7 linked regions of the Coturnix japonica genome follow. The protein of the gene in region 7 binds, or shares a complex with, the protein of the main gene of each other region. Links are inferred from orthologs where the notes say so. Each region holds a gene or a part of one and is shown on either strand. Other genes may lie near its edges.

What was found.
Region 1: ACTB (region 7) and SMARCD1 share a complex: the UniProt entries of both Homo sapiens proteins name them as parts of the BAF complex. The link is inferred for Coturnix japonica from reciprocal best matches to the Homo sapiens genes ACTB and SMARCD1.
Region 2: ACTB (region 7) and SMARCC1 share a complex: the UniProt entries of both Homo sapiens proteins name them as parts of the BAF complex. The link is inferred for Coturnix japonica from reciprocal best matches to the Homo sapiens genes ACTB and SMARCC1.
Region 3: ACTB (region 7) and SMARCE1 share a complex: the UniProt entries of both Homo sapiens proteins name them as parts of the BAF complex. The link is inferred for Coturnix japonica from reciprocal best matches to the Homo sapiens genes ACTB and SMARCE1.
Region 4: ACTB (region 7) and SMARCC2 share a complex: the UniProt entries of both Homo sapiens proteins name them as parts of the BAF complex. The link is inferred for Coturnix japonica from reciprocal best matches to the Homo sapiens genes ACTB and SMARCC2.
Region 5: ACTB (region 7) and SMARCD3 share a complex: the UniProt entries of both Homo sapiens proteins name them as parts of the BAF complex. The link is inferred for Coturnix japonica from reciprocal best matches to the Homo sapiens genes ACTB and SMARCD3.
Region 6: the proteins of ACTB (region 7) and SETD3 are in contact, whole or in part, in a crystal structure (PDB 6ICT), measured with the Homo sapiens proteins. The link is inferred for Coturnix japonica from reciprocal best matches to the Homo sapiens genes ACTB and SETD3. Residues at the interface, in NP_001092.1 of Homo sapiens: Leu67, Lys68, Tyr69, Pro70, Ile71, Glu72, His73, Gly74, Ile75, Val76, Thr77, Asn78, Trp79, Asp80, Asp81, Met82, Lys84; in NP_115609.2 of Homo sapiens: Cys36, Ser37, Ile148, Ala151, Met152, Asn154, Ile155, Asn212, Arg215, Gln216, Val248, Val251, Met252, Thr253, Arg254, Gln255, Asn256, Gln257, Ile258, Pro259, Leu268, Ile271, Trp274, Asp275, Cys277, Ile284, Thr285, Thr286, Gly287, Tyr288.

What each region holds. Positions count from the first base shown.
Region 1 is NC_029544.1:347,990-352,112, forward strand, and holds the start of SMARCD1 (SWI/SNF-related matrix-associated actin-dependent regulator of chromatin subfamily D member 1), read right to left. Parts: upstream 2,801-4,123; 5' UTR 2,765-2,800; coding exon 2,597-2,764; intron 2,477-2,596; coding exon 2,289-2,476; intron 1,119-2,288; coding exon 1,076-1,118; intron 979-1,075; coding exon 856-978; intron 587-855; coding exon 458-586; intron 1-457. UniProt on the Homo sapiens protein: Involved in transcriptional activation and repression of select genes by chromatin remodeling (alteration of DNA-nucleosome topology).
Region 2 is NC_029517.1:706,332-709,831, forward strand, and holds part of SMARCC1 (SWI/SNF complex subunit SMARCC1), read left to right. Parts: intron 1-1,988; coding exon 1,989-2,070; intron 2,071-2,516; coding exon 2,517-2,609; intron 2,610-3,500. UniProt on the Homo sapiens protein: Involved in transcriptional activation and repression of select genes by chromatin remodeling (alteration of DNA-nucleosome topology).
Region 3 is NC_029542.1:4,153,877-4,157,376, forward strand, and holds part of SMARCE1 (SWI/SNF-related matrix-associated actin-dependent regulator of chromatin subfamily E member 1), read right to left. Parts: intron 3,381-3,500; coding exon 3,276-3,380; intron 1,633-3,275; coding exon 1,552-1,632; intron 463-1,551; coding exon 331-462; intron 1-330. UniProt on the Homo sapiens protein: Involved in transcriptional activation and repression of select genes by chromatin remodeling (alteration of DNA-nucleosome topology).
Region 4 is NC_029544.1:895,855-900,032, forward strand, and holds the start of SMARCC2 (SWI/SNF complex subunit SMARCC2), read right to left. Parts: upstream 2,801-4,178; 5' UTR 2,757-2,800; coding exon 2,646-2,756; intron 2,563-2,645; coding exon 2,443-2,562; intron 327-2,442; exon of another isoform or gene 321-326; coding exon 235-320; intron 1-234. UniProt on the Homo sapiens protein: Involved in transcriptional activation and repression of select genes by chromatin remodeling (alteration of DNA-nucleosome topology).
Region 5 is NC_029517.1:105,896-110,165, forward strand, and holds the start of SMARCD3 (SWI/SNF-related matrix-associated actin-dependent regulator of chromatin subfamily D member 3), read right to left. Parts: upstream 2,801-4,270; 5' UTR 2,672-2,800; coding exon 2,594-2,671; intron 1-2,593. UniProt on the Homo sapiens protein: Involved in transcriptional activation and repression of select genes by chromatin remodeling (alteration of DNA-nucleosome topology).
Region 6 is NC_029520.1:43,618,117-43,621,616, forward strand, and holds part of SETD3 (actin-histidine N-methyltransferase), read right to left. Parts: intron 2,622-3,500; coding exon 2,507-2,621; intron 1-2,506. UniProt on the Homo sapiens protein: Protein-histidine N-methyltransferase that specifically mediates 3-methylhistidine (tele-methylhistidine) methylation of actin at 'His-73'. Histidine methylation of actin is required for smooth muscle contraction of the laboring uterus during delivery.
Region 7 is NC_029529.1:4,232,029-4,236,038, reverse strand, and holds the start of ACTB (actin, cytoplasmic 1), read left to right. Parts: upstream 1-1,210; 5' UTR 1,211-1,343; intron 1,344-2,099; 5' UTR 2,100-2,105; coding exon 2,106-2,228; intron 2,229-2,561; coding exon 2,562-2,801; intron 2,802-3,326; coding exon 3,327-3,765; intron 3,766-4,010. UniProt on the Homo sapiens protein: Actin is a highly conserved protein that polymerizes to produce filaments that form cross-linked networks in the cytoplasm of cells.

The sequences.
Region 1 (4,123 bases), on a different chromosome or scaffold from region 7:
CAGGAGAGCAAGTTCCAGGACTCAAGCACAGGCAAGGTGCACAGCAGTGTTCCTTTAAGTTGTGAACACTTACATTCATCAACACATGCTCGAAAATCAAGTTCCAAGTCAAAAATGGTGAAAGACTGGAGATAAAGATGAGCTTGGAGGAATTAACTTACTCAGCAATTACATAAAATGCGAGTGCCCTGGTTCTAAGAGCCAGGGTACACAAGTGCTACTGATCGGCTCTCACCATTAATTCTTATAGCTATAAGAACTTTGTATAACTCATGTTCTGCCATGGGGATACCCATCGGTCTCCGAGTTGGGCTCTCGGTCTCGTCACCATCAGACTCCTTGGAAAACAGAGATGAAGGAGGATATCAAGCCCTTAGCTACACTCCCAGACACTAAGAAACTGGTTCAATTTCCAATTCCAGACCCATCAAATCAGCTCTGCAGTTGGGTGCCTTACACTCACATCTTCTAGCAGCCTTCCTTCTACTCGAAGCTCCCAGGAGGCCACTGTTCCTTCACCATCCTCTGCATCCGACTTGGCTGGATTGAAGGTATTGGAGATAAAAATACGTAGCTTTCGCTTTTGCTACAAGAAAAAGCATCAGCTCAGTATTCATTCAGAAGCAAAGGGATGAGAATCATGCTTATGTTTTGTTAAAACTAAGCTAAATATTCTTCTTTTCCTCATACATCCACTCTCAGGACAAACAGCACAGAGAGAGGCAGTCTTGGTTCTACCCCCCCACTTAAGTCCTGGGCATTACAGTTCTCTCTATGCTTATAGGGTTATGACACAACCTTCAAAGCCCTCCTACTCTTCTGATAACAGTAAGTCTCTGAATGTCCCTCTCCTACCTTAATGGGTCGTTTCAAAGCCTCCTGGATATCCAAGCGTTTCCTCATGATCGTCTGGTCCAATTTCCTTTCAAAGGCCAGCAGGTCCATATAAGCTTGAGACTCAGGCACAAGTTCACGGATCTACAAGCAGAACACGAGCCAATCAAGAATGCAAATCACTGTCAGTTCCCCCACATCTCCATATCAGCAGAGGCTGTCAACTGCACATGCCACTCACCCTCTGAGGTAGAATTTTGTCTGCCATCTTCTTCTTTTTAGCACTGTAAAGTAAGGAGAGCATTAAAATGGCAACCATTCTGCTAATTAACACTGGACGTTCACAAAAGGAGCGAGATGAGGTTTGTGTTTTAGGACCAGGGCATCAGCAATGCTCTCAGCCCTGCAGCAGCTGATCGCCTTAATACATCCCCAAGGAAAGCAATGAAAGCAAGGCTGCATCATTGGAAAGGAAGCCTTATGGCTCAATGTGCTTTAGACAGACTTTTCTAGGAGACTCAGAGATGCATTACCAACGTTACCAAGGCATCACATTGTACTATCAGAAACTGAACATTAACTTGCTCTTGTCCAGCAGTTGCACATTACTTTTTTATCTGCTGGAAATTCCCCTCTACCAGAGACGAAGCTGCACGAGAACATCAAAGTTTCTTTCAGCCACCCAACAAAAAAAAAGCAGCAATGAGAGGCCCAGGCCTGGCTCTGCACACAGAAAAGCTTTGTGCTGCTCTGAGCAGCCAGCAGATGACACCAAGTCAGTGCTGACCCCTTCAGAGAGAGCCTGCAGCTCAGTGATGCCTGCCCTCACCCTGATACACAGATCTCGTCCCATGGGGCTTCATGAGGAGAGAAGCAATGTGTCCACGTCCACCTGGGGATGCCCTGAGCACCCTCAATGCTCTGGTGATGCACAGAGATACCTCGAAGACCCCTTGGACCCAAGGATGCCCTGAGACTCCTCTTTGCCCTCGGGGTGTCCTGAGGAACCCTGTTGCCATAGGAATGCCCAAGGATATGCCCAAGACTCATCTGCCATCCCAGGGATGTCCTCAGGACCCCTGCTGCTCTGAGGATGCCCAAGGGACATTTTGAGACCTTCACTGTTCCCTCCCCTGCCCTGGAGGAGCACAGGGAAGATCTGGGACCCTCATCTGCTCCAGGAACCCTTCCTATTTCAAGGATACCCAAGGATATCCTAAGCCTCCCACTGCCCTGGCAGCATCCTTTGGACACCCATTGCCCTGAGAACCCCCCTGTTGCCAAGAGGACACCCAACGATGTCCCCAGAGCCTTTCTACCCCATAGTTATCCTATGAATGACCCGAGCTCCTCCCCCCACTCACAGCTCTAAGGATGGCCAAGGATGCCCTGATCCCCCCCCCCCCCCCCCGCACCGTCTATTCCCTGAGCCCCCCAGCACCCCCGGTTCTTACTTGTGGTTGCGGTTGGGCACCGCCTGAGGCTGAACCTGCTGCAGTTGCTGCGGCGCTGGTCTCTTACGGGCCTGATCCAGGCCGGCCTGCGCCATACCGGGCCTCACTGCCGGGCTCCCACCGTACCCGGGCGGCCCCATAGAGGGGCCTTGCGGTGCCAAACGGCTGCCCGGTAACATCCCAGGGCGCTGCAAGGGGAAGAAAAAAGCCGTTCCAATGCCCACCCGGGGGGAAGCCGGCCCCGTCCTCGGCCCCGCCGCCCCCACTCCCTCCCGCCCCGCCCCGCAGCGGCCCCTCCCCTGCCTCACCGGGTAGGCGGCCCCTGGTAGAGGTGAGCGGTACAAGCCCTGTCCCGGGGCTGGGCCCATGCGCACCGGTCCGCCTGGTGTGCCCGGACCCAGCGCTCCGGTCCCGGTAGCGGCCCCGCCGCCTCCACCGCTGGGAGTCACTGACTGGAAGCCCGCCCGCGCCGCCATCTTGTCCAGCACAAAGAGGAGCGGGCCGGAACCGGAGCTCTGACATAGAGAGAGCGCGGACAGCGGCCTAGAGCGGCAACGGCTGCAGAGAGCGCCCCCTGCCGGCGGGAGGAACTGCGGGGGGTGGGAAGTAGTGGGTGGGGAGGGGGTCGTGGGTGGGTTTAAGGTTCACTACTGTGGGGGAATAGGGGCCTGGGGGAGTATGGCAAGGTTCTGGGGTGGGGGTGGGGGGTGTAGAGCGTGGGGAGGGCTGTGGGTGGGGGTAGAGGACTTGGAGAGGGCTATGGGATGGTGTTGGGTTTGGGGGTTTCAGAGACCATGGATGGGATGGGGTATTTGCAGGGGGGGATGTGTGGGAAGGGGCTGCGTCCTGGGGACATGCATGGACCATAGGAAAGTGTTTTGAGGGTGCAAGGTGCTGGAGGATGGTGCTCATTAAGCCTCGATGCTGTGACTGAGTTGGGGTGGGGGTCCCCTGTTCTTACAGGTGCTCTGTGCTCGTGTTTGGGGCTGCTTTGCTTAGGGCTGGGGATGCTTGGAGGAGGATTCCTCCCTCCCTCAGTAGAAGGCACAGCGCTGAATTAAAGGCCGCTTTTTGCAAGTATTAGCATTACTTTCCTTGTCCCCAGGGCACTCATCCGTGTGGTTGCTCATAGAGCAGAGGGACCTGCATCCAGCCTGCATTAATCCATGAATAAAATCCAAGAGAGCAGCCACACCGCAAGTATTAATTAAGCAATTAATGATAATCACAGGCCATTTAGGAAGCTGTCCTGTACAGTGCATGGCATTGTTGACTGAGGAGAAAAGTGGGGAGTTGTTGGCATCTTTTCCACCAAATTCAGTGTTTCTTGACCTCGATAGAAAACACGATGCCGTGAGCACAGCCATTAGCTGTTGTCTCAGCATCCGTGTGTCCGTGCAGTTAATGTAATGCCACCTCCAACACAGCCTTGGCGCCTGGCTGCCTGATGAAATATTCATGGTGAGGAGAAGCGGTGGAACTTATCTGCTCCGTATTGTTCAGATGCAGCAACTTCAAGTGAGGCTTAAAGCCCGGCAGGAGCCTTTGGACAGAGTTAGGAAGTGGCTGGGAGGGATATAGAAATAAGGAAGGGCTGAGCTGAGAAATGGTCTCTCTCCAGCAGCAGTTCCCTGTCTGCCTGGAACTGGGGAGCCCAGCACTGAGCCCAGTGCTCCAGTTGTGGCCTCCCCAGGGCAGAGCAGAGGGGAGGTGCACCTCCCTCCATCACCCTGCTGGCCAGGCTCTGTGCAGTGCACCCCAGGGTATCATTAGCCTTCTTGTCACACTCCTGGCTCATGGTTACCCCGTTGGCCACCAAGAGACCCACGTCTTTT
Region 2 (3,500 bases), on a different chromosome or scaffold from region 7:
GCTCTTGCTTAACCTGTTTGTGAATGATCTGTCTTATAGGAGAAGTACCTTTCCTCGCCATAATAGGTATGTCTGCAAAGTGCACTTACCCAGTGCAGCTGGACATACCCTGTCTGTCACTGCCATTGAAGTGGTTGGTGGCTAAAACCTGCCCGAGGTGTCCCGTAATCTGAGCGCAGGAGGGATTAGCACTGCTATCTCATCTCCTTTACACACAGTTCTATTGCTTGATACATGGACGTGCTTCTCGTCAAGTATGGGTTGTGAAAGTGTGGGGCATGAATAGCATTTAATGAATCCAAAACGCGGATTGTAGGCAACCAAATATAACAAGCAGCTTTGATCAAAGCAGAGTGCCTTACACGTCCTTGTTTCAGAGGTACTGCCAGCTGTTGGCTGTCTAGGAAGGTAGATTCATTTGCATTAATTTGCCATCTATTTCCATTTGTTTCCTTGACACTTCAGTGTACCTGTCTGGAGCACACATGGCTTGTATAGACCATGAAACATCAGTGTGAGAGCCCTGGAGAAGCAGCTGGGCCTCGGCTCAGCTCCCTGTGTGTCCATCCAGCAGTGCATTGGGCTGTGCCTGCAGTCAGCTCACAGCTCCCACACGCACAGACAGTAGGTTTGTCAGGATGAACTCTGCCTTTCGTTCCCCAGCTCTTTAGCAGGAGGGGATGCACCTGTAATACCTATGGAGGGTAGAAAGAGCCTTCTGCTGATGCTGCCTGATGTGCTGAGAGCCACCAGTGAAGGAAGAGATGGCAGCCTCAGCTGAAGGTTCTGTGCTATGTTCAGCGGTGTCTCTGTGATGCCCTGCCTGTGCAGTAATGGGTTTTCTGACTTCAGTCCTGCTTTGGTTTACCTTTGTTGCATATTTATGAACTTGAAACGTTTATTGGATGTGTTATGGGAAAGAAGTGTGTGTCTGAAAGAAACTGTCCTGAACCGTCTGGGCACAGCACTGCCTGCTGGTGCTTGAAGCTGCACTCTGAGCTCAGAGCAGCTCGCCAGTCGCTGCAGGGTAAGGAGCTCATGGCTGTGGGAGGCATTTCTATGTGCTGTAATCCCTATCCCGCTGGCTGCCAGCTCAGCATTCCTGTTCACAGCACTCGCAGCCCCTGCTGGTGGTTGTTTCCAAAGCTGCACAGGCACGGAGGTGCAGCAGGCAGTGCCTGTCTGCCCCAGGGCAATGTTGTGCTGGGCTGAGCCTGCCTTGGACTCCTGCAGCTCCATACCCGTGGTATGTGCAGTGCTGTTGGTGCCATCAGTGCTCAGCCTGACCCTTTCTTCGTTCAGGTCCTTCACTCGAGGACACATGCAGGACGCCTGCTGAGGCTCTCATGCTTCTGCCTTCCCCGTTTCTCACAGATGCTTCCATGTGCACTGTCACTCCCAAAGCTGGATTCCTTTATCACTGCAGCATGGAGCTTTAAAGCACCAGAGTCCCATAAAGACAATCATCTTGTTGGACTCGATGGTCTCTATGAGCCCCTTCCAATTTGGGCTGTTCTGTAATGCTGATGTGGGTTGTTAGCTGCCCTGTGCTGTGCGCGGGGCCCTTCTCATGGCTCACAGAGGGATTGCCCATGTTGCTGGGCTGGATTTTGGGGTGGGTGCTGGGAGCACACAGTGGATGGTTGTGGGTTTCCCCCTCCAGCTGGTGAGACCTGCCTTGAATATCTGATGGTTTCCATTGAATTATCCCTTGTGCCTGCAGTGGAACACACAACCCTTCTGCAGGTTCCAGCCTTCGTTTTTCTTCAACCTATTGCAAATCATTTTCACTTTGGTGATTCCTTCATTGTGTTGGGTTTATTTGCTTGGGGGGGCTGCCAAGCGAAGCAAAACTACTTGATTGTGCCCTGAGTGTTCCCATGTAGCTTCCACAGTGTTGTTTTTAATGTGTAACATGAGAGATTCTTTGCTTCTGAGTAGAGGAAAGTTGAATCCTTTAAGACTTTTTGAATGGTTTCCCTCTACAGGCGGAGGTTTGACCTGCAGAACCCATCCCGGATGGACCGAAATGTGGAGATGTTCATGAACATTGAGAAAACACTAGTGCAGGTAATGGACTCAGATTCCTTGTGCATGGGATGGTTTGGGTTGGAAGGGACCCCAAGGATCACGGAGCTCCAACCCCCCACCACAGGCAGGGCCACCAACCTGCACATTGATACCAGCCCAGGCTGCCCAGGGCCCCATCCAACCTGGCCTTCAACACCTCCAGGGATGGACGGGGCATCCACAGCCTCTGGGCAGCTGTTTCAGCACCTCCTTGGGACTTCCAGCTTTGTAGTGAGTTTGAGTATTTTCAGGGCTGGGTTGCTTTTTGATCCTCAGTTGTTCTGTCAGAGCTCCATTGCTGCTACCAGAAGACAGCAGGTAGCAGTTGTGTGGGGTTCCATCTGAAGTTATTTGCTCTCTTTATTACTGCTGGACTGCTGATTGTGATGGGAACTGTTTGGTTTCTGTCACAAATGCTCTGCTAATTACTTCTTTTGTCTCCACAGAACAACTGTCTGAGCAGACCAACCATCTACCTCATTCCAGATATAGAGCTGAAGCTGGCTAATAAACTGAAGGACATTGTCAAACGTCACCAGGTAACTTACACAGCATCTCCTAGCACAGCGTGTTTGCGTACCAGTGATGTTTGTGCTGTGTCTGACAGTGCAAGGAAGCAGCAAGAAGTCAGAGCACAGGTCAGCTGTCTGTGGGATGCCATTAGTGGTTATCATCACGTGGCTGCTGAATCATTAATCTGCTCTGAAAGTAAATGAGCTTCTGAGGCTTCAAGCAGCAAGCAGCGCGAGGTGTGTTTTCTCTGTGAGGCTGCTGCAGGCCTGAGCTGATTTAACACTGAATTCTGCCCACGTGAGGCAGGAGATCACAGTTTGTCCAAGTCTGAGCCCAAAAAAGGTAGTGCGTGGCATAACTGGTGTAGACGTGTGGGAGCAAGCATAAAGAAGCTCCAGTCTTAAAAATGCTGCCTTTTCAGGTCTGTTCTTAACTTTTTTTTTCTTATTTATGCCAAACAGAGCACAAGCAACATCAGGTTTGTGTTAGTGCATTTCCACAAGGGTCAGCATCTTTGTAACTGAGCGTGCTCAGTGATGGCCTGAACAAGGTTAATGGCTTCATCTTCTAAACATGAATGGGCTCTCACTTCTCTTGAGGGAAGCTCTGTGAATGTGAGCTCTGTGGGCACAGGACTGAGCGGAGCTCTGGCTGAGCTGGGAAGGAATCGCTCTGCAGCCCTTTGTGAGGAGAGAACTCACTGCTGGTAGCCAAAGGGAAAGCTTTCCTATCCACATTTCCACTGTATTTGCTGCGTTATGGTTATGAATCATCTCAGCCTTAACTGCATAGCTGTTCTTGAGTTACTCATAGCTCTTGAGCTGACCCCAGGTGCTGGCTGTTGCTGAGATGAGGGTTAATGCTCTGCAGTCTGCTCCTGAAGTCCTTACTGTTCCTCGTGGTGATTTCCTTTATGA
Region 3 (3,500 bases), on a different chromosome or scaffold from region 7:
ACCAGTTTTGAAAGAGGCTTTTGGTGTTGAGGCAATCTTTTCAACACTGATGTTGTACAATTAAATCCATTCATTAAACAGTTAAATTCGGCACTCAATTATAAACAACTTCATTTTGAATTGGGTCTAAAAACTGACCAGTCACAGCTGATGTACAGTAACAAAAAAAAAAGTCTAAAAGATGTGTCAGGACACAACTTCCATTAAGTTACATACAGGGGGTCTGGTGAACGCCTCATACACCACTGCACGGGAAAGATGAATGTTTCTTCTCAGACCAGTTCCTAGAAGAATCAGCTGTAATAAACATCCCAGATTTCTTCCATTTACCTTTTCAGCTTCATATTCATTCAAATACTCTTGCTTCTCTTCATCAGTGAGATCTCGCCACATTCCTCCAATAATCTTGCCAATTTCCCATAACTTCAAATCAGGATTGGACGCCTTCACTTGGTCCCAGACCTTAACAGAAACAGCTGGAGCTTTACTAATGATATCTAAATACTTCCAAATTAAACATTTTATATTGTCATCTCAGTGTTCTTTCTGGAACCACCACGAAAAAACAGGGTTAAGTTAGGGATGAGTCTGGCTAATCTATCTCGGTTATTTTCTGGGGCAGTCAGTAGGAGGTCATCTACTGAAATGGCTTTGGTTTCATCAGAATATTTTGCCTTTAACCCTCTCACTTCTCTTCTCAAATCGCTGCATCTCGGGGAAAAAAAAAAGCTCTATAGAGAACACACATCCAGCAGTAGATTGCGGTAAAGAGCACTGAGCTTTTCACATCAGAATGCAACATTTCACAATATTTTTCAGTCTTGCTGATCAATTTGAGTTCCAACAAGTTCTGACTCCACCAAAAAGGTTTCTACCTTTACAGGGAGAAAAAAGAACAAGGAGAGAGCTGCCAGGGTTAGTTCTTGCTGCGCCACTTGCCTTTTTTTTTGTTGCTGGTTTTTTGGACAGATCTGCTGGTAAAGATACTTTACCAGAAGTGGAAGAATTTCCTTCTGGCTCACCCGCTCCAGACGGGCTCACCTGCCCTCCCCACGCCCAATCACATTTAAGACTCCACAAGGGTCTCTCTCCTATTTTTTGTCAATCAGTTCAGAGAATAGCGAAGTAACCATTGCCACAGGCTAGGTTGGTGAAGGAGAACACGCAAAGTCCACTCATTGCTACTCTTCAGTCCAGCTACAGCACTGTACCAAGCCCAGTATACCGCAAGGAATATTTCCTTTACATTAAAAGTTCTCTCATAAGTCATAGGAACTTCTGAATGTGGCAGGGTGGATCCTTGTCAGCAGACAGCAGAAGGAAATTATCAATTTAGAGACAACTGTTCCCCCCAGAAACTGGCAACTGTAAGAACAGACCAGCGCTGCCATTATTCTGCAGGGCAATGCATCTGTTCTTTACAATTCCCTTTAAAGAATGTGCAGGCTGTTAGGAGTAAAAGTTTAAAAGCTGAAACTAAGATAACAGCAATGAATTGTTAGCACGCACAACGCTAACATCTATTACTACTTGTTCGATACCCATACCCACCTTCCGGCTGTACCTCATGTAGGGCATCAGGGGCTTGTCTGGGGGCTTTGGGGGCTTTGGGATGGTAATACCAGAGGAAGCCTATGGAAAAAACGAAGAAGTCCATTTGTTAATGCGCTCACCGGGCAGCTTCCACACGCGCCAGCTTTGGGAAAGCATTTAGTCTTGCACAGTTGAAAGAAACAAACATCCCCCACCCCACTCCAAGAAGGAAGCATAAGTGCCCCCCCCCCCCCCAAGCCTGTGCACAGGTACACAGCTAGTCCTGTTAAACTGCTCGCTATGAAGAGCAAATCCCCCTCTGCGACCGATCCATCAGTGTGCGTTATTTGCCTCCAAGCTGTCATTATCCATGTTAGCCTTCGCATGTTTTTGTGCTCTGATCTTCCTTCCAGTCTGTGCAATGCTGAACACCTTGTGCTAAGCAGGAAGACACAGAAGAGTGCTGCTGATGGAGAGCTGCTGCACGCCCTGCTCGTCCTTCACAGGACACCTGGCAGCTTTGTTCCCCTCACCACCACCTCACAGCCCACCACCTCCACTCTGCAGACACTCAGTGTGGGAGTTCCAACCGTGGGACCATTTCCATCACAACAAAAAGCAGTTTTGAGCCTTTTCAGGATTGAGAAGATTAAGCAAATATCTGAAATTGGCCATAAAGGCCAACGTGTTGTATTCAGCTTTCCAATTGGTCCTCTTCATTTGTTTTTTTCTGCTGAATTTATGGAGTTCTATGAATCGATGCATACAGAACTGCGTATAAGTATAGATAATGTACATGGAGTATATGTATTACCAAAATGTATACATAGATACACACACAGATGGGTTTGAAAAACATTAACGGAAACTGTTCAATGCTTTTAAATTAACAGGAGTTCCAGGACACCATACATATCTTGATATATGCATGGCAGAGAAAGCTGTATATGCTTATGACATACAGAAACAATGAGAGTTCTCGGAGCAAACCTAACTTAACCTTGCTTAAGAAAATAAATGTCTGTTCAGACAGTACAGTCAGCTGAGTTGCAGCTTGGATGGGGAAGGCCTTTTCTGTAAGCACTTCAACAAACCCAATGAAGTCATCTGTGAAGCCTGAAAGGGGGTTTACAGAAGAGGCACACGAAGAGCACTCTTCACTGAAGGCACTGTACGTGTTCCATGACAAACTGCTTTGTATCCCATGTTCTAGACTACAGAATATCTGATTGTATTTCATATCATTATACTTCTGTTGAAACAACTGTTTCTGAACCAGGGACTTTGCACGGTTAAATCAGACTAAGATTGGAAATAAAGGCTCACATTTCTTGCACAGCTCCGTAGTGTGAAGCAACTATCAGCGATCCCTGGTCTGCAAAGCATTCCTCCTTATTTTGTGCCAAAGTCAGTAACTTTGCAGTTCTACCCCCCAGGGATCGGTACCTGCAGCACAGACCTTCCCTACACATGCAGCGCTCACTGAAGACCACAGAGTGTCTCCTTGGAGCTCTGCATCACACGATTCCCACACGTCTTTCCCTCTCTTGAACAGAAGTCCATTTTCTTGTGAAGGGTTTCAAAGTGTAGGGGAAGGGGTAGGGATGGAGAGAGAAAATCAGAAGTAATCTCTTGTTCCTAGAAAACGAGGCAGCAGCCAGGATTCAGAAGATCCTAACTCTAAAGCCATTTCTGGGCATTGCCTGCTGTTTGCCGGATGATGTAATAGTTGATTCTCCTACCGTGACCCGGCTGTTGGTGCCCGGGTTCCCTCCCAGCCTGTAGTTGTTGTAGGCCAGATGGCTGTATGGATTGTATCCCACAAACCCTGGTGTGCTGGGCATTTGCTGATGGAAACAAATGAGACAAAAACACGAATGAGAAATGAGATCAAACGAGGAAAACACATAAATGAAAATGAACTGCAATATGGCATGCAAAAGCAATCAGAATTTAAACAAGCAAAT
Region 4 (4,178 bases), on a different chromosome or scaffold from region 7:
TCAGGTCTCCTCATCACTCAGCCCCATTTTACCCATTAAAGGGGGGTGGGGGGACACCCCAACAGGGATCTGTGTATGGGGCTGTGACCCACAGATGGGCAGCCAACACACTGCCCAACCCAGGGCTGTAACCGCCCCCATTGTGCCCCATAGAGCAGACAAATCTCTGCCTCCCCCCTCCCAACCCCACCACCACCCTTAATTCCATCCCATCCTCCCTATGATGCCGCTCACCATCCTTGGTCGCTCTTGAACTTATAAGCAGCCGCCAAGATGTGGCACAGGGCTCCCCCCGCCTTGAAATCCAGGAAGCATTTGATCTGGAAAAGGGGATGGGAGGACTCGGGGGGGGGGCTGCCCCACAGCGGGCAATACCCCACAGCGGGCAGTGCCCCACAGCAGGCAATACCCCATACATAGCAGGCAATGCCCCACAGCGGGCAGCACTGGGACTCATCCCTTCTCCCTATTGTCCCCATTGCTGTCCCTGCTCCATGCCATGGGGGCGACCACCCCAACAACCCCCCCGCCCAACCCCAGCCCCAAAGAGCCCCCCAAAGGGATGGGAGTGGGGAAGAGGAGGGTCCCCATGTGTCCATCCCTCCCAGCTGGGCCGTGTGGGGCCTGGGGGGCTCTCGCAAAGACCCCTCCAAAGGGGGTGGGGGGTGGGAAGGGGGAGGGTCCCATGTGTCCCCCCCCCACCAAGGCATTGCAGGACCGGGGGGGTCTCACAAAGACCCCCCTAAAGGAGGGGGGGGGGGGAAGAAGAGGGTCCCTATGTGTGTCCCCCCCAGCTGGGCCATTTGGGGCTGGAGGGGTCTCGCAAAGACCTCCCCAAAGGGGGGTGGGGGGGTGGGTCCCCATGTGTTCCCCCACACCAAGGGCCGGGGGGGTCTCGCAAAGACCCTTCCAAAGGGGGTGGGGGGTTGGGAAGGGGGAGGGTCCCATGTGTCCCCCCCAACCCAGGGCATTACGGGGCCGGGCCGTGCGGGTCCGGGGGTGTCTCAGGTCTTTCAAAGACCCCTCCAAAGGGGGTTGGGGGGTTGGGAAAGGGGAGGGTCCCCATGTGCCCCCCCCCCAGCTGGGCCATTTGGGGCCGGGGGGGTCTCGCAAAGACCTCCCCAAAGGGGGGTGGGGGGGTGGGTTCCCATGTGTCCCCCCCAACCCAGGGCATTGCGGGTCCGGGGGTGTCTCGGGTCTTGCAAAGACCCCTCCAAACGGGGTGGGGGGTGGGGGGTGTCCCCATGTGTCCCCCCCAACACCAAGGCATTGCGGGGCCGGGGGGGTCTCGTAAAGACCTCCCCAAAGGGATGGGGGTGGGGAAGACCCCTCCAAAGGGGGTGGGGGGTGGGGAAGGGGAGGGTCCCATGTATCTCCCCCAACACCAAGGTATTATGGGACCGGGGGGGTCTCACAAAGACCCCCCTATAGGGGGGGGGGGGGGGAAGGGGAGGGTCCCATGTATCTCCCCCAACACCAAGGTATTATGGGACCGGGGGGGTCTCACAAAGACCCCCCTATAGGAGGGGGGGGGGGGAAGAGGAGGGTCCCTATGTGTCATCCCACATTTGGGGCCTGGGGGGTCTCACAGAGACCCCCTCAAAGGGATGGGGGTGGGAAGGGGGAGGGTCCCTATGTCCTCCCCACCCAGCTGGGCCATTTGGGGCCAGGGGGGTCTCGCAAAGACAACCCCAAAGGAACGGGGGTGGGGAAGAGGAGGGTCCCTATGTGTCCCCCCCAACACCAAGGCATTGCAGGGCCGGGGGGGTCTCACAAAGACCCCTCCAAAGGGGGGGGGGGGTCCCACGTGTCCCCCCCAACCCAGGGCATTACGGGGCCGGGCCCTGCGGGTCCGGGGGGGTCTCACAAAGACCCTCCTAAAGGAGGGGGGGGGGGAAGAGGAGGGTCCCCACGTGTCATCCCACATTTGGGGCCGGGGGGGTCTCGCAAAGACCCCTCCAAAGGGGGTGGGGGGGTTGGGAAGGGGGGGGGTCCCCATGTGTCCCCCCCCCCCCCCAGCTGGGCCATTTGGAACCGGGGGGGTCTCGCAAAGACCTCCCCAAAGGGATGGGGGTGGGGAAGACCCCTCCAAAGGGGGTGGGGGGGTTGGGAAAGGGGAGGGTCCCATGTGTCCCCCCCAACCCAGGGCATTACGGGGCCGGGCCTTGCGGGTCCGGGGGTGCCTCGGGTCTTGCAAAGACCCCTCCAAAGGGGGTGGGGGGGTTGGGAAGGGGGAGGGTCCCCATGTGTCCCCTCCACCCCAGCTGGGCCATTTGGGGCCGGGGGGGTCTTACAAAGACCCCTCCAAAGGGAGGGGGGGGGGTCCCATGTGTCCCCCCCAACCCAGGGCATTACGGGGCCGGGTCGTGCAGGTCCTGGGGTGTCCCTGGGGGGGGTTGCGGGGTTTGCGGGTCCCTTTGTCCGCCCGGCCCAGTCACGCACCGGCAGTTTGGTGAGCGGCGCGTTGCTGACGTGCTTCCCGAACACTTCCTCCTGGAACTGCAGCAGTTGAACCACGAGACTCGACAGCGATTTGTTGGTGGGGGGCTCGGCCTGGATGTACTGCGGGAGGGGGCTCAGCCTCGGGCCTGGCTCCGTGTAAAGCGGAGCCGTGAGGCCTATGAGGGATCCCGAACGATCCGTACCTTCTTGTAGTTCTTGCCCAACCAAAGGCGGACGTTGTCGAATTGACTGACGGTGTCCGAGGCCTCGTAATATTTGACGTTGGGGCCGCCGTCCTTCTTCCGCACCGCCATCTTCCAGCGGGCCGGGCCGCTCCCCGCCGTGACGTGACGCAGCGCCCCCTGCCGGTAACGAGGGGTACTGCAGGACGGCGCCCCCTGCCGGTAATGAAGGGTACTGCGGGACGGCGCCCCCTGCCGGTAATGAAGGGAACTGCGGGACGGCGCCCCCTGCCGGTAATGAAGGGTACTGCAGGACGGCGCCCCCTGCGGGCAGAACAGGGGTGAGTGTGCACAGCGCCCCCTGCAGGCCGAATGGAGATGAGTGAACACAGCGCCCCCTGGCGGCACGGAGGACCCGATGGATGGGGGCGGTGTGCCGGGTCTAGGCGGAGCGCGGATGAGGGAGGCGCTGAAGTCACGGTGGCCGAGAGGTGAAGGCGTTGGACTCGAAATCCAATAGGGTTTCCCTGCGCAGGTTCGAATCCTGTCCGTGACGGAGCTTTATCTTTTAATGGGGGGGGGGTCCCTTTTTAATGTGGGACTCTGTATAACACGGAGCAGTTCAGAAAGGCTCGGCCCCTTTTAGTGTGACCCCCCCCCCGACCCCTCCTAGAGCAGCCACAGCTTCGCTACAGAAACCAGAACAGCCGTTTTTATTGATCGCTGAACGCCCCCCCCCCCCCCCCCCCCACCAACAAGGGGGGGGGAGACCCGGAACCGCATCGTACAGACAGCGGAAAATAGGGGGAAGGGGGGGGGAGGACCGTAAAAAAAACCAACGTAACGAATGAGAATAAATTAAAGTCCCATAGGGTGAATGGGGGGGGGTAAGGGGGGGTATGAAGCCATCGGTGGCACTCCAAAATCAAAGGGGGGGGGAGGAGAATGGAGGGGGGGGGTAAGAATGGAGGGGTGGGGGAAGGCTGAGTAGTACAAAATAATACAGAACCACGAGCACGAGTGGCTGCAGAGGAACAGCAGTGGGGCAGAGGGGGCTCCTATTGCCCCCCAGGGTGGTGCCAGACCCCCTCCCTGCTCCCCCCACCCCCCCCCCTCATTGGCTCCCCCTCGCCCATAAATGCCCAGCTCTGCCTTTAGGGTTAAATGGGGAGAGGGAGGCCAGGCCTGGCCCCCTGGGACAGACACAGGCAGCATAGGGCAGAGAGCACAAGGGAGGCAGCCGGGGGGGCTGCAGGCACAGCGTGAGCATCCGTGGGGCTGGAAGCCCATGGGGCTGGAAGTCCATGGGGCTGGAAGTCCATGGGGCAGCAGCCCAGCAGTACCCGGGGTGCAGCTGTGCCTCCTCTGCCCCCTCTGAAGACACCAAGTGGGGATATGGAGCTGCAGGGGGCAAATGGGGGGTGGGCTGGGGTGGATGCAGCGGTTATAAGGGGGACTTGGGGGGAAGGGGGGGGGACATGGAATCGTTTCATCCAGCTGTGAGCAGAGCCCGGCCATTGGCAGCATCCACCCCAGGCCTCGGTCCCAGCCCCC
Region 5 (4,270 bases), on a different chromosome or scaffold from region 7:
ACAAGGGCAGCCTGAAGTGTACTGCTGGACAGTAGAAAACACATCAGGAAAAAACATATAGGCATAAAGGTGGTCATTAAAGCTGAATTTATCCATAACAGTTCTGGAAATAGAGCAGAGGGGCGAAAGTGACAGTGAAGGATGATGAAGCCTGTGCAAAAAATCCCTCTTCCCACAGATACAGCGTGTGAGGCCCTGATCAACAGACCAGGAGTTAGAGAAATCTAAGGAATAACTGAAAGAAAGGCGGTCTTTTGAAAAGAACTGCTCAGCAGAGGTGTAACAAACTACTCCAGCAGGGCGAAGTATCACACCTGAGGCTTCTCACCACTGAGATCTGACAGCACAGAGGGATCCTATCTGAACCACACAAAGGGAAGAAGATCTCTTCTGAGCTGGCAGCATGGGAAAGAACAAAGGCAAGATGAAACACACAAGAGCAAAGGGCGAAGTGACCTTAGCAGAGAAACACATGTTTTCAGAAAGATCAAATAAACCCAAAATCTAACAGCTCTCAGTAAATAGTGCAAAATTCTCCTTTCTATTTAATTCTTCAAACAGTACATTTTTTTCTCATGGCATTCTATCCCTGCTTATACACTCCCATTTCTGAAAATGAAACAATAACGATAACAATACCTGCAGTAATCAAGAGAGATCATTTTGCCAAAGAGAGAACAAAAAAACCCAGTAATCTGAAGAGGAGATTTTCCCTGGAGTGGAGGCATAACCTGATTCCAAGGCATGCTGGAAAACTTTACTCTTCAACTTGAATCTTCAAGGAATTGATTCAGATGCAGACAGGCCGCGTGCGGTGATGAGGCTGCAATATCTGCACTCGGGGTAACGGCTCGTTCTTTTATTCGATAGGATATGTAAACAGGTAAATGAAGTTGCAACTTTGGGTCTTTTGTAAGCAATGGAAGACTGGCTGCCTCAACCTGTTTTGACCAAAATGAGCCTGAGGTCAGGAAGAAACTAGAAGTGAAGAACAAACACGGAAGCAAAAGCAGAACCAAAGGAAATAATCATGGAGGGGCGCAGAGGGTCCTACAAGAGGAGCTCAGGCAAAGAGTGATGGACAAGAAGCTCTGTTTCCCCTGACAGGCAGTGGAAAGGTAACAACCAGATGCAGGTACTCAGGCAATGTGGATACCAAGTGAGACGCCTCTCATGGAGAAACAGGCAGTGCAGACAAGTCAGACTTTTCTAGCACCCAAATAACTAATGGAAACAAGTTCTGCTGCATTAATTCTGGTATGAATTAACATTTCTCATGCTTAAGAGGCCAGCAGGCTCCTTTCACATCTACATGGGAAAGAAGCAGGGTCATCCAACTGTCTTAGCAACTCTTGGAAATACCAAAGGAAGAGCAGTGTTGTGCCAACAGAAGCCTTGGAAAAAGAAACAGCTACCCTCGTGCACAGCCCTCCCGGGATGCCTGCGGCCACCCAGCTACAGCCACCCTGAGCCAGACCATCTTAACCAACACACGTGTTCACAGCACAGCTACTGCCACAGATCCGCACACCTGCTTCTGTCATATCTGCCCATCCAGCCACAGACTGCTGATGTACATCGGCACCGCTCTGCCTGCTCACTGCTCTCAGGGAGCAGAATGCCATCTAAAAGTCCTTCACCCTGCAAGCTCATCATAGCCAGGCTCTGCAGTACACAAGAAAGATCCAATACATTTGGAGCAAGCCTGAATTATGGGGACAACCCAGAGGCCTGCAGCGAGCTCCCGAGATTCCTTTGTACAGGAACACGCAGCGGATGTCTTCAAAAAGGTGTCACAGAAGGTGCCAGAACGCTCAGGAGAGAAAACACGCAGGGACTGTCTCCATCTGAGCTATATCTGCGTTTCCTGGGTCTTATTTCCTTAAAAGTGTATCAGCACGAGACATCCGAATGCTATAAATGGTGGTCGCTTTCAACCATCAGTCATTTAAAGAACATCGTTTCTCCTGGCAGCAAAACAAGGTTAGCGTATCCCCTTAAATGGAGATCAAAAACCTGATTCCTTAAACAAAAGCTGGCGATTTTTTAAAGACCTGAGTGATTCCTTTAATTAAGCGCGGCAACCTGACGTTCCCTCGTGGGTGAGCGCCCATCGCCTGGCAGAGATCCGCAGCGCTAATCTCTCCAAGCCCCTGAAAGTCACCTGTTAAGTAGCCAGCGGATACATCAGAGCCAAGGCTGGAGACGAGAACCAGAGGCAGCGCCACACGGCCGCGTCGGACCAGCATCAGAATTGCTTTTCAAAACACAAGTTTGCTTACAGAACAAAGTGTCCTACGAGCCCGTTTGGGTCAGACGCGGTGCAGATCCCGCACCGTGACGAGGCTCGGGAGCACGCTATTCACCAAGCACGGAGAATCAAAGCAGCAATCACAGCACGCAACCCCCCAGACAAAGCCGTATAGCAACGAATCGGTCACATCGTGTGCACCGGCGGCCCCGCGGCTCCCGGGCGAGGCGGGGAGCGGCGCCCCACGGGCGCGCAGCAGGGGCCGCTCCAGCCCGGCGCAGCCTCCGCTCTGCACTCATCCCTCGATCCGGAGCCAGCAGCTCGCTAACTTTCCCGACTCACCACCCCATGGACCAGAAACTCAAAAAGTTTGCTTTTCGTAGCTTTGCGAGCCCCTCCTGTAACTTCGTCTGTAGCCATCGGGGTCTGCTCAGCCTCTCTCACTCTCTCTCTTCCTCTTTCTTTCCCTTTTCTGCCTTTTTCTCCAACTCTCCCCTCTGAGTCCTGCTGGGCTCTCACACTTCTAATAGCGCGGAGTGGGGAGGGGGCCCCTTCAGGGCCTTCCTGACGGCCCACTCGCGCTCGGCCTCAGCTGCTGCATTCCTCCACTGATAAGCCAGAAATAGTTTGCGCTGCCGGGCTCTGCGTGTTTACTCTGCGGGGACAGAAAATCCCGCTTTTTAAACCTCTCTGTCCAAACACCCGAGATAAGAGCCAGGCAGATTGAAAACACGTCCCGGCCTTTCGCGGCGGAGCCGCAGCCGCTCCTCCTCGGCGCAGGGGATGGTAAATTCTGGGGCAAGGGGGAGGGGGCGGCCTCGGCTCCCGGGGAGTTTTCCCATTACAATATGCGGCGGGAGAGCGGGGAGAAACAATGGCTCCCCCCGTTCGCAGCGCTCCGCCCGCGCCGCGCTCCAGGCCCCGTCCCCGGGGACCGCCGGCAGCGGGCAAACATTCGCTGGCGGCGATTCCAGCGCCAGGATGAGAACGGCCCCTGCGGCGAGAAGAGGCGGCGGGAGGCGGAGAGACGGGAGCGGGCAGGGACGGAGCGGGGGAGAAGGGATGGGGGGCGTGCGAGCAGCGGGGGCGGCATAGCGGCATAGCAGCACGGCAGCACGGCAGTATGGCAGTATGGCAGTATGGATGTATGGCAGCACGGCAGTATGGCAGTATGGCAGTATGGCAGTATGGATGTATGGCAGTATGGATGTATGGCAGTATGGCAGTATGGCAGTATGGATGTATGGCAGTATGGCAGCATGGCAGTATGGCGGCGGCCCCGCCCGGGGCGATCTGTCCGGGGCTCTCCGGCCCCGCTACGCCCCGTGTGACTGACGGCTGCAGACGCCGCGATCCCCGCAGCTCGCCGTTGTGCTGCCGCAGCTCGCGGCTCCTCGTGCACAGCCCCGCGCGGCACCACGAGACCCCGCGGCCCATCGGGGGGGAAGGGGCCTCTGCAGCGCTTCTCGGCGGCCCCTCCGTGATGGAGAGCAGTAATAACGGCTCTGCGGTGCACAGCGGCAATAACGGCTCTGCGGTGCACAGCGGCGGGGCCGCCTCCATGACGGCACAGCGGCGTGGCCGTGGGGCTCTGCTCACCGCGGTGTGTGCGGCTGGAGGGGGCGGCTGCCTCCCGTCCGCCTGATACATTGATAGAGGTGTTGCCAGAGGGGTTTGTTCTGTTCCTCTCCTTGAGATTGATGTCTATAGACTCTGAATTTTTTGGCAAGGCTGCAAGTAGAAGGGAATCAGAAGGGAACCTGAATTGAATAAAATCGCTGCTCTCACCCAGTGGTTAAAAACAAGCACCAAAAAGACACTGAATCGGGCAGCAGCGAGGAGCAGCCCATGGCGAACACACGGCATCGTGTGCGCGGGGACTGAGGAGCAGCCTCTGCTGATGTTCAAGGTGACCCCGGCCCAGGCAGCGCCGTGTAGGATAGCGCAGCAATGACAGCGTTTGGGCGTGTGGGGGCTGCTCTCAGCGCCCTCCCCCTTCCGCTCCCTCGGACACACCCA
Region 6 (3,500 bases), on a different chromosome or scaffold from region 7:
AAAGGCTTCTCTGAAAAGCATAATGGAGTGCTAGACTTATTTCCTCTTTCTTTCAATAACAGTCATGCAGCAGAATTAACAGGGTGATTACTTCCCTTCCCACATCATGGCTGACAAATTGCATCCCTCCAGTTTTATTTCCGAAGCAGACCAATGTATGAATTTCAAGTTTTGCTTAAAGCAAAAGTAGTACTCTGTTGTATAGTTGTATGTTGTATAGTATAGTGCTCTGCTTGGTCGGTGATTATGGATGGACCCAGCCCAATCGGCAGAGCGTAGCTTATTTAAAGCTCTGGCAGAACTGGTAATCAACCTCTGACTGTCAAAATACAATCCCACTAAAGAATAACAATGAGAAATGCATGAAGACAACCATTTTGATATAGTTCTTAGAGGAAGGTTGATCTAATTAATACTGTCAGAAGCACGAAATAGCAGGATGGACCTGGCTTCAGTTAAAACCCAAAGAGCACGTTATTATCCAGCTTGGGCAATGGGTCCCTGCAGAATACAGCAAGAACAGGAATATGTAGTAGGTCACTAACTCAGGAAGCATTTCAGTGTGTCTGGAATAGACTAGACAGAGTGGTACATATAATACCATCTCTCACGTCTTATTTGCATACAATGAACTGTTCATTTCATGTGCTATATCTACAGCAGAATCCATCCTCATCCCACTCTACAGCAATATAAACTACAACACAGAGAGATCAGGAGTTGTTTTAATTTCTTTTTCTTCTCAGTTTCTAATATACAATACAGAGTGAAAAGGGTTGAGTAGCTTCTCTTATTGTCAGTGTTCTAGTTGCCTATCCTTCCTAAGCCTACAGATACTTAAAAGTAGCTTGTGTGGAAATATGAAACAAATGAGTAAAGTCTGTATAGAAATTCAAACTATTTAAGATTCCTCCCTTCCCCTCTTTTCTTTTTTAGGATACACTTAAGCATAAAAAATTGCTTAAAGCCCTGATATACTACTGCACTAGCAGGTTTGGCTCCAGACACTGGCTCCATATCAAACCCAACATGAAGGAACATAATAAAGATAAAAAATGACTTTATCAATTTAAATATAAGTTTGAATGACTAAAACAACGTACCTAACAGCTCTTTTAATATGGGCTATTTTTTTTCCCCTCCCAGAACCTTAATTCTCTTCCCCTTTCCCTTTAATCCCAACTTTGAAGGCATTCATTAAAAGCTGTCTAATGACTACAGGCTAGTCCCTGCAGAAGTATCATAAAGAGAAGCCCAGCAGAAGGATACAAGAAGTACTGATGCATGCAGCTAAGACTTACATGAGAAAAATACACATTAGTGAATTCAGAGCAATTTTCTTGTTATCACAGATTCTCATACAAGAGTAATTGTTGTGAGATTGCAAAATAGTGAAAGGCAAGGATCAGTATTAAAACACAAGAGAAAAAAAAAATACAATAGCCAAACACGCAACCTTGTAGCCCGGCTTTTGGCGCTGTAATTGGAACAATCATGGTAAAAATAAATTAACTAAGTATCAAGTGAGAAACAGCCTGTTTTACACTTTGTTCATGTAAATTAAGCTTTTCTTACACCAGCAGCAGTAACACATGCTGTTGTCCTAACGCTGGGGCCAACTTTCCTACAAAAGGACTAGATCACTTGAAATAGAATGGTCATATTTACTACTTAAATAATACTATCTACTGGAAGTAAAATTTTAGAATATAAATTCTAAAGCATACACGATGCTGGCTAAACAACACCGATAAATTGTCCTCTTACAGTCTTCCATTTCCTCACTTCAACATTAACTAGCCTGTTAATGAAATCAAGACCATATCCTCTAAACCAGCTCACGTAAGACAAAATGTCAGCAGATCTGACTTTCTATATACGTGTCACCTTTTAAATGTTTAATATGCCCTAAAGTAGTATTTTTGCATTTTGTTTCTTTGATGTAGTAACAGATGTACTGTTTTTGTTGAGCTGGGCTTTGTTCTTGTCGTTGCTGTCTCCATAACAAGGTTCTCTGGGCACAGTTAAGAGAGCAGGCAGTATTTCTTAGCTGCAAATTTCTAACCACTTTCCCTAATGGTAGCTACAAGAGGTAACCTCCATCACTGTCTACTTTCATATTCTCAGTACAAATCTATCTAGTATTGTGAATCTTTGTCAAACTAGTCAGAAACAAAACCCTATGTCAGAAAAATGGCTGGAAAAAAGAAAAAGGAGGTATCGTGTAGCCAAAACTCTTAAAGGTATGTTATTCACACAAGACACAACTGTATGCAATCATTTCTAAATGTTTGTTTAAATTAAGGAAGCTCTACTGAAAGACCAACATAAGACATTTAAGAAATTGATAAATCTTTCAGCTATAAGTTTTCTGAGGGTCATTCAGGAGGATAAAATAACCTGTGTTAAGAAGTGGAATGAAAAGTTATTAAAACCGTTTGCTGGCATTTGAAAGGATTAATACTTAAGCCTTAGAGCCTTTCAACAGCACTGAAGTAAACCTTACCAGTCCATTAGTATGATTACACATGTCCCATAGAGGTATTAGAGCCAACGTAACTCTGGAACCATCTTCTGTTGGAATCTGGTTCTGCCGTGTCATAACAGAGGAAACTGCCCATCTACAAAAGCAAAGAACATTAGGTGTTCATGTTCAATACATCAAAGTGTGAATAGCCTGTAACACAATCTGGAGCAGACATTTACACAAGGAATTTCCAAATCTATTTATTTTTTAATAATATGTTAATAACAGCAAGAGGTAAGAAAAGAATCATTCAAAACCCTTCCAAGTCAGGTTAAGCAAATGAAAATCCAGCTACGTATTCAAATACAGGAATCTTCAGAAAAGCTGAATATCCCAGTATTTCTTAATTTCTGGAATTCCATTTTATTACATTTCAGACAAAAATGAATAATGCCAGAAAGAAGAAATCTTCAAGTATCACTACGCTCTGGTCTTAGTATATACATACAGTATATACATCATCTTGAAAAAAGGAATACCACCAGGAGAGGGTCAAAAGAATTTTAACTCCTCACCCTCCATCAGTAAGAAAAAGGATTAGACTTTCAGATCTGTTTTTGTTTTTTTTTTCCAGAAGTGCTCCAGATTGCTTACAAATGCATGGTCAACTTGAATTTTAATTACTTTAATTTCTGAAATAACAAGATAAAACTGTGGATAGCTTTGATATACAAGATACAGGCATCATTTGAAACATAACTGTTGTATTCTTCTTTTTTATCTGAAAAAATCTTGTTCACTTCACATGCAAGTTGGCGTGTTGCTCTGCACTCTTGCAAGGAAGCAGGCATGCTTTGGATAAGCCAGTTTCATAGACTTACCCAGAAGCCTCTCAGGCCTCACCAGCCTTTTACTCAAGCTATTTTAATCACTTAACAGAATTTAAATAATTACCTTAATAATTCTTATTGCAATTGTGTCACCCCCAAAACACCTCCAAGTGACATTCACGGTTCCTATGTACAACTTAAGT
Region 7 (4,010 bases):
GCTGCTCACCAACACCACGCACCGCCCTGTCCAACCCCGCAGCACACGCTGCAAACAGGAAAGAAACAAAATATTGCCCAAATGTAGGCAAAGGCCCCTCGGCTGCCCTGACCTCCGCCGGGCCGGGCCCTGCCTGACTCAGCTCCTTACTCAGCTCTCGTTTCCTCCCTCCGGCTGCTGCTGCCGCTGCAGCTCACACCCTAACGAAGCACGGCCCTTGATGGGCTCTGCGATGCACCCAGCAGTCCAAGGGCTGGCCGGGAGGTTTGCACCGCTACTTGCTGACATGAGCGCTGAACTTGGCCCTGGGTAGCGCTGCAGGCCGGGAGGGGTGGGTGCAAACAATGCACCTGGTGCCCCATCCCCTCCCTTGCAGCACCAGGCCGATGGTGTGATTGCAGCTCGGTGCATGCACGCGCCGTGATACGTTCCTTGCTGCTGTAGCAGCCTAGTGCACGCACAGCCCTCGCTGTTATTGCAGCTCTGCGCACACACTCATTGTATCACTCCATCCCACAGCATGATGCACTCGCACTGGAGCTATCGCTGCTGGGTGCACACACTCATTGTATCGCTGCAGCTCAGTGCATGCACGCAGGCTGCTGTTATTGCTGCTGGGTGCACGCACATCAGTGTGGCTGCAGCTCAGTGCATGCACAGCCGGTGCGCATCGCTCCCACTGCTCCCATCGCTCCCATAGCTCCTATTGCTCCCATTGCTCCTACTGCTCCCATTGCTCCCATAGCACCCATAGATCCCATATAGCACCCATAGATCCCATACAGCTCCCATAGATCCCATATAGCACCCATAGATCCCATAGCTCCCATAGCTCCCGTAGCTCCCATCGCTATGGCCGCCTGTCCCCGGGAGGTGACTTCAAGGGGACCGCAGGACCACCGGGATGGGGGCAGGGCTGCATCCCCTCCCCAACAAAGCACTATGGAATCAAAGCATTATGGAATCAAAGCACTATGGAATCAAAAGGGGGTGGGGGTGGAAGGGAGCGTCACACCCCGCCGCTCAGCCTCACCTGGAGCTGAGCCCCACGCTCCCCTCTCCCCTTTCATCCCCCCAATTTCCTATTTATTTATTTCTTAATTATTTTGTGCAGCGATGGGGGCGGGCGGGGCGAGGCGGGAGAGGTGCGGCCACAGCCAATCAGAAGGGCGCGCTCCGAAAGTTTCCTTTTATGGCGAGGCGGCGGCGGCGGCGGCCCTATAAAAGGCGGAGCGGGCGGCGGGCGGGAGTCGCTTTGCGCTGCCTTCGCCCCGCGCCCCGCTCCGCATCCAGCCGCCTCGTGCCGCCCGACCCGGCTCCGACTGACCGCGGTACAAACACAGGTGAGCGGCCGGACCGCAACGCTGCGACAGCAGAGCTCCATTGTGCCATACGGGGGAGCACCGAGGGGCTGCGGGGGGGCGCTGTGTATTGGGGAGGGGGCGTGAGTCGGGGTGTGTGTGTGTGTTAACGGAGCCGGTGCTGCCCGGTGCCGCGGGGCGGTTCGGCGCTTTGTGCTGCGATGAGCGGGGCGGGGGGCGAGGGAACAAAGGCGGAGTGAGGGGTGGGGGGGGGTCGGGTTGTGACCCCCATGTGCAGCTTTAACCCCCCCCATGTGCAGCTGTACCCCCATGTGCAGCCCCCCCCCCCCAATCCTTGTTACAGATCGCGGGCTGTGCTGGCTGCGGGGCTGTGCTGGGTGCGGGGCCGTTGGGGGCTCGGGGCGGTGCCGGTGGTTGGGGGCGGCTGGTGGGCGGGGCTGGCTGCCCCTATAGCGCCGGCGGCTGTCGAGGCGCGGCTCGGAGCTGCCATTGCCTTTTATGGTCATGGTTGGAGGGCGCAGGGACTTCCTTTGTCCCAAATCTGTGCCGAGCCCAAATCCGGGAGGTGCCGCCTGACCCCCTCTAGCGGGCGAGGGGCGAAGCGGAGCCGGCAGGAAGGAAATGGGTGGGAGGAGGAGGGCCGTGCTGCCGCGCTGCCGCCCCGCGATCCATCCCCAGCGTTGGGGGGATCTATAGGGGGCGAGGCGGGGCGGGGTCCGGCTTCTAGTGCGTGACCGGCAGCGCTTCTATCTCACTGCCTCCTCTCTTCCTTCGCAGCCAGCCATGGATGATGATATTGCTGCGCTCGTTGTTGACAATGGCTCCGGTATGTGCAAGGCCGGTTTTGCCGGGGACGATGCCCCCCGTGCCGTGTTCCCATCCATCGTGGGTCGCCCCAGACATCAGGTACGGCAATGGCTGGAGTGATGCATCCAGACAATGGAGAGGAGTGTTCGGTGGGAGTGGTTGTGCTGAGGGCGTGGAGCCTCCAGAAGCCCTTTTACTTTCATGTGTGACATAAGAGGTTTCTACTCTGCAACAGTAACTGGTTGAATACACAGCATCCTGCCGAGCAACCCGTGTTGAGCCAATGGCTCCAGTCCTTAACCTGGCAGAGTAGGGGCAGTAGGGGGTTAGTGATTAAAGGTGTGGCTTCTGCGGGGGGGGGAAATAAAACCTTTATTCATCCATTGGATTTTGTCCTAGAGTTAAACTTAAAGCTTTTTCTTTGTTGTGCAGGGTGTGATGGTTGGTATGGGTCAGAAAGACAGCTATGTAGGTGATGAAGCGCAGAGCAAGAGAGGTATCCTGACCTTGAAATACCCCATTGAACATGGCATAATTACCAACTGGGATGATATGGAGAAGATCTGGCACCACACTTTCTACAATGAGCTCCGTGTTGCCCCTGAGGAGCACCCTGTGCTGCTCACAGAGGCTCCCCTGAACCCCAAAGCCAACAGAGAGAAGATGACACAGGTGTGTAAAACCCTTTGAGCCTGGAGCTACAGCAGGCGCTGCTGCAGGCCAGCTCTCCTCTTCCATGTTGTCCTCTATCCGCCTTCACCACTTCTCCCTTTTTGCCATCTTTACAGGGTTTTCCTTTCCTGACCTGAGTCTCCTCTTTGCTGGACCTTGACAGGTTTTGTTTGCTCTAAGCTGGCTTTCTCTGAGACTGAACTAGCAACTTGTCTAACTGCTGTTTCTGACTAGACACTAATCCATTTACCAGCCTTGAATGACTATACTGTAGTTCCTTGGCCTTTGTTTCGTTCCTTGCTGTGTCATGTGGATGGGCCTGTGGTAGCAGTGTCCTTGCTCAGGCTCTAACCTGGCAGGTGTGGGTGGAGACCAAGCGAGATAAGCACTGATATCTCCTTCTAGAGGAGCAAAGAAGCCTCTTTATCTAGGGACAAATGTAAAACCACATGCATGGACTGATGTAGGCATGCAGTGAGAACCTTGGTTTATTCTGCTTGACTCAGTGCTTTCTTATCTCTCTAGATTATGTTTGAGACCTTCAATGTCCCAGCCATGTATGTAGCAATTCAGGCTGTGCTGTCCCTGTATGCCTCTGGTCGCACCACTGGTATTGTGATGGACTCTGGTGATGGTGTTACCCACACTGTGCCCATCTATGAAGGCTATGCCCTCCCCCATGCCATCCTGCGTCTGGATCTGGCTGGCCGTGACCTGACGGACTACCTCATGAAGATCCTGACAGAGAGAGGCTACAGCTTCACCACCACAGCCGAGAGAGAAATTGTGCGTGACATCAAGGAGAAGCTGTGCTACGTCGCACTGGATTTCGAGCAGGAGATGGCCACAGCTGCCTCTAGCTCTTCCCTGGAGAAGAGCTATGAACTCCCTGATGGTCAACTCATCACCATTGGCAATGAGAGGTTCAGGTGCCCTGAGGCCCTCTTCCAGCCATCTTTCTTGGGTAAGTCTGACTCCTTTTAGGAGATTCCGTGCCCCTTCTGCCTAGAGTGACTTAGAGACTAGTCAGCTGCCATTGTACTGCTGGCCCTTAGCAGGTCTGTCCCATTCCACTTCAGTCTTTGTCTTCCTCAGCCTGAGGATGATAGAGGTACCTAGGTCAGAACCAGGAGGCTGAGCCTGTAAGCCATGGCTTTGCTTGTGTTGCTTCCCACTATGGGGTCTTTGTTTCTCTTCCCATAGCAGTAG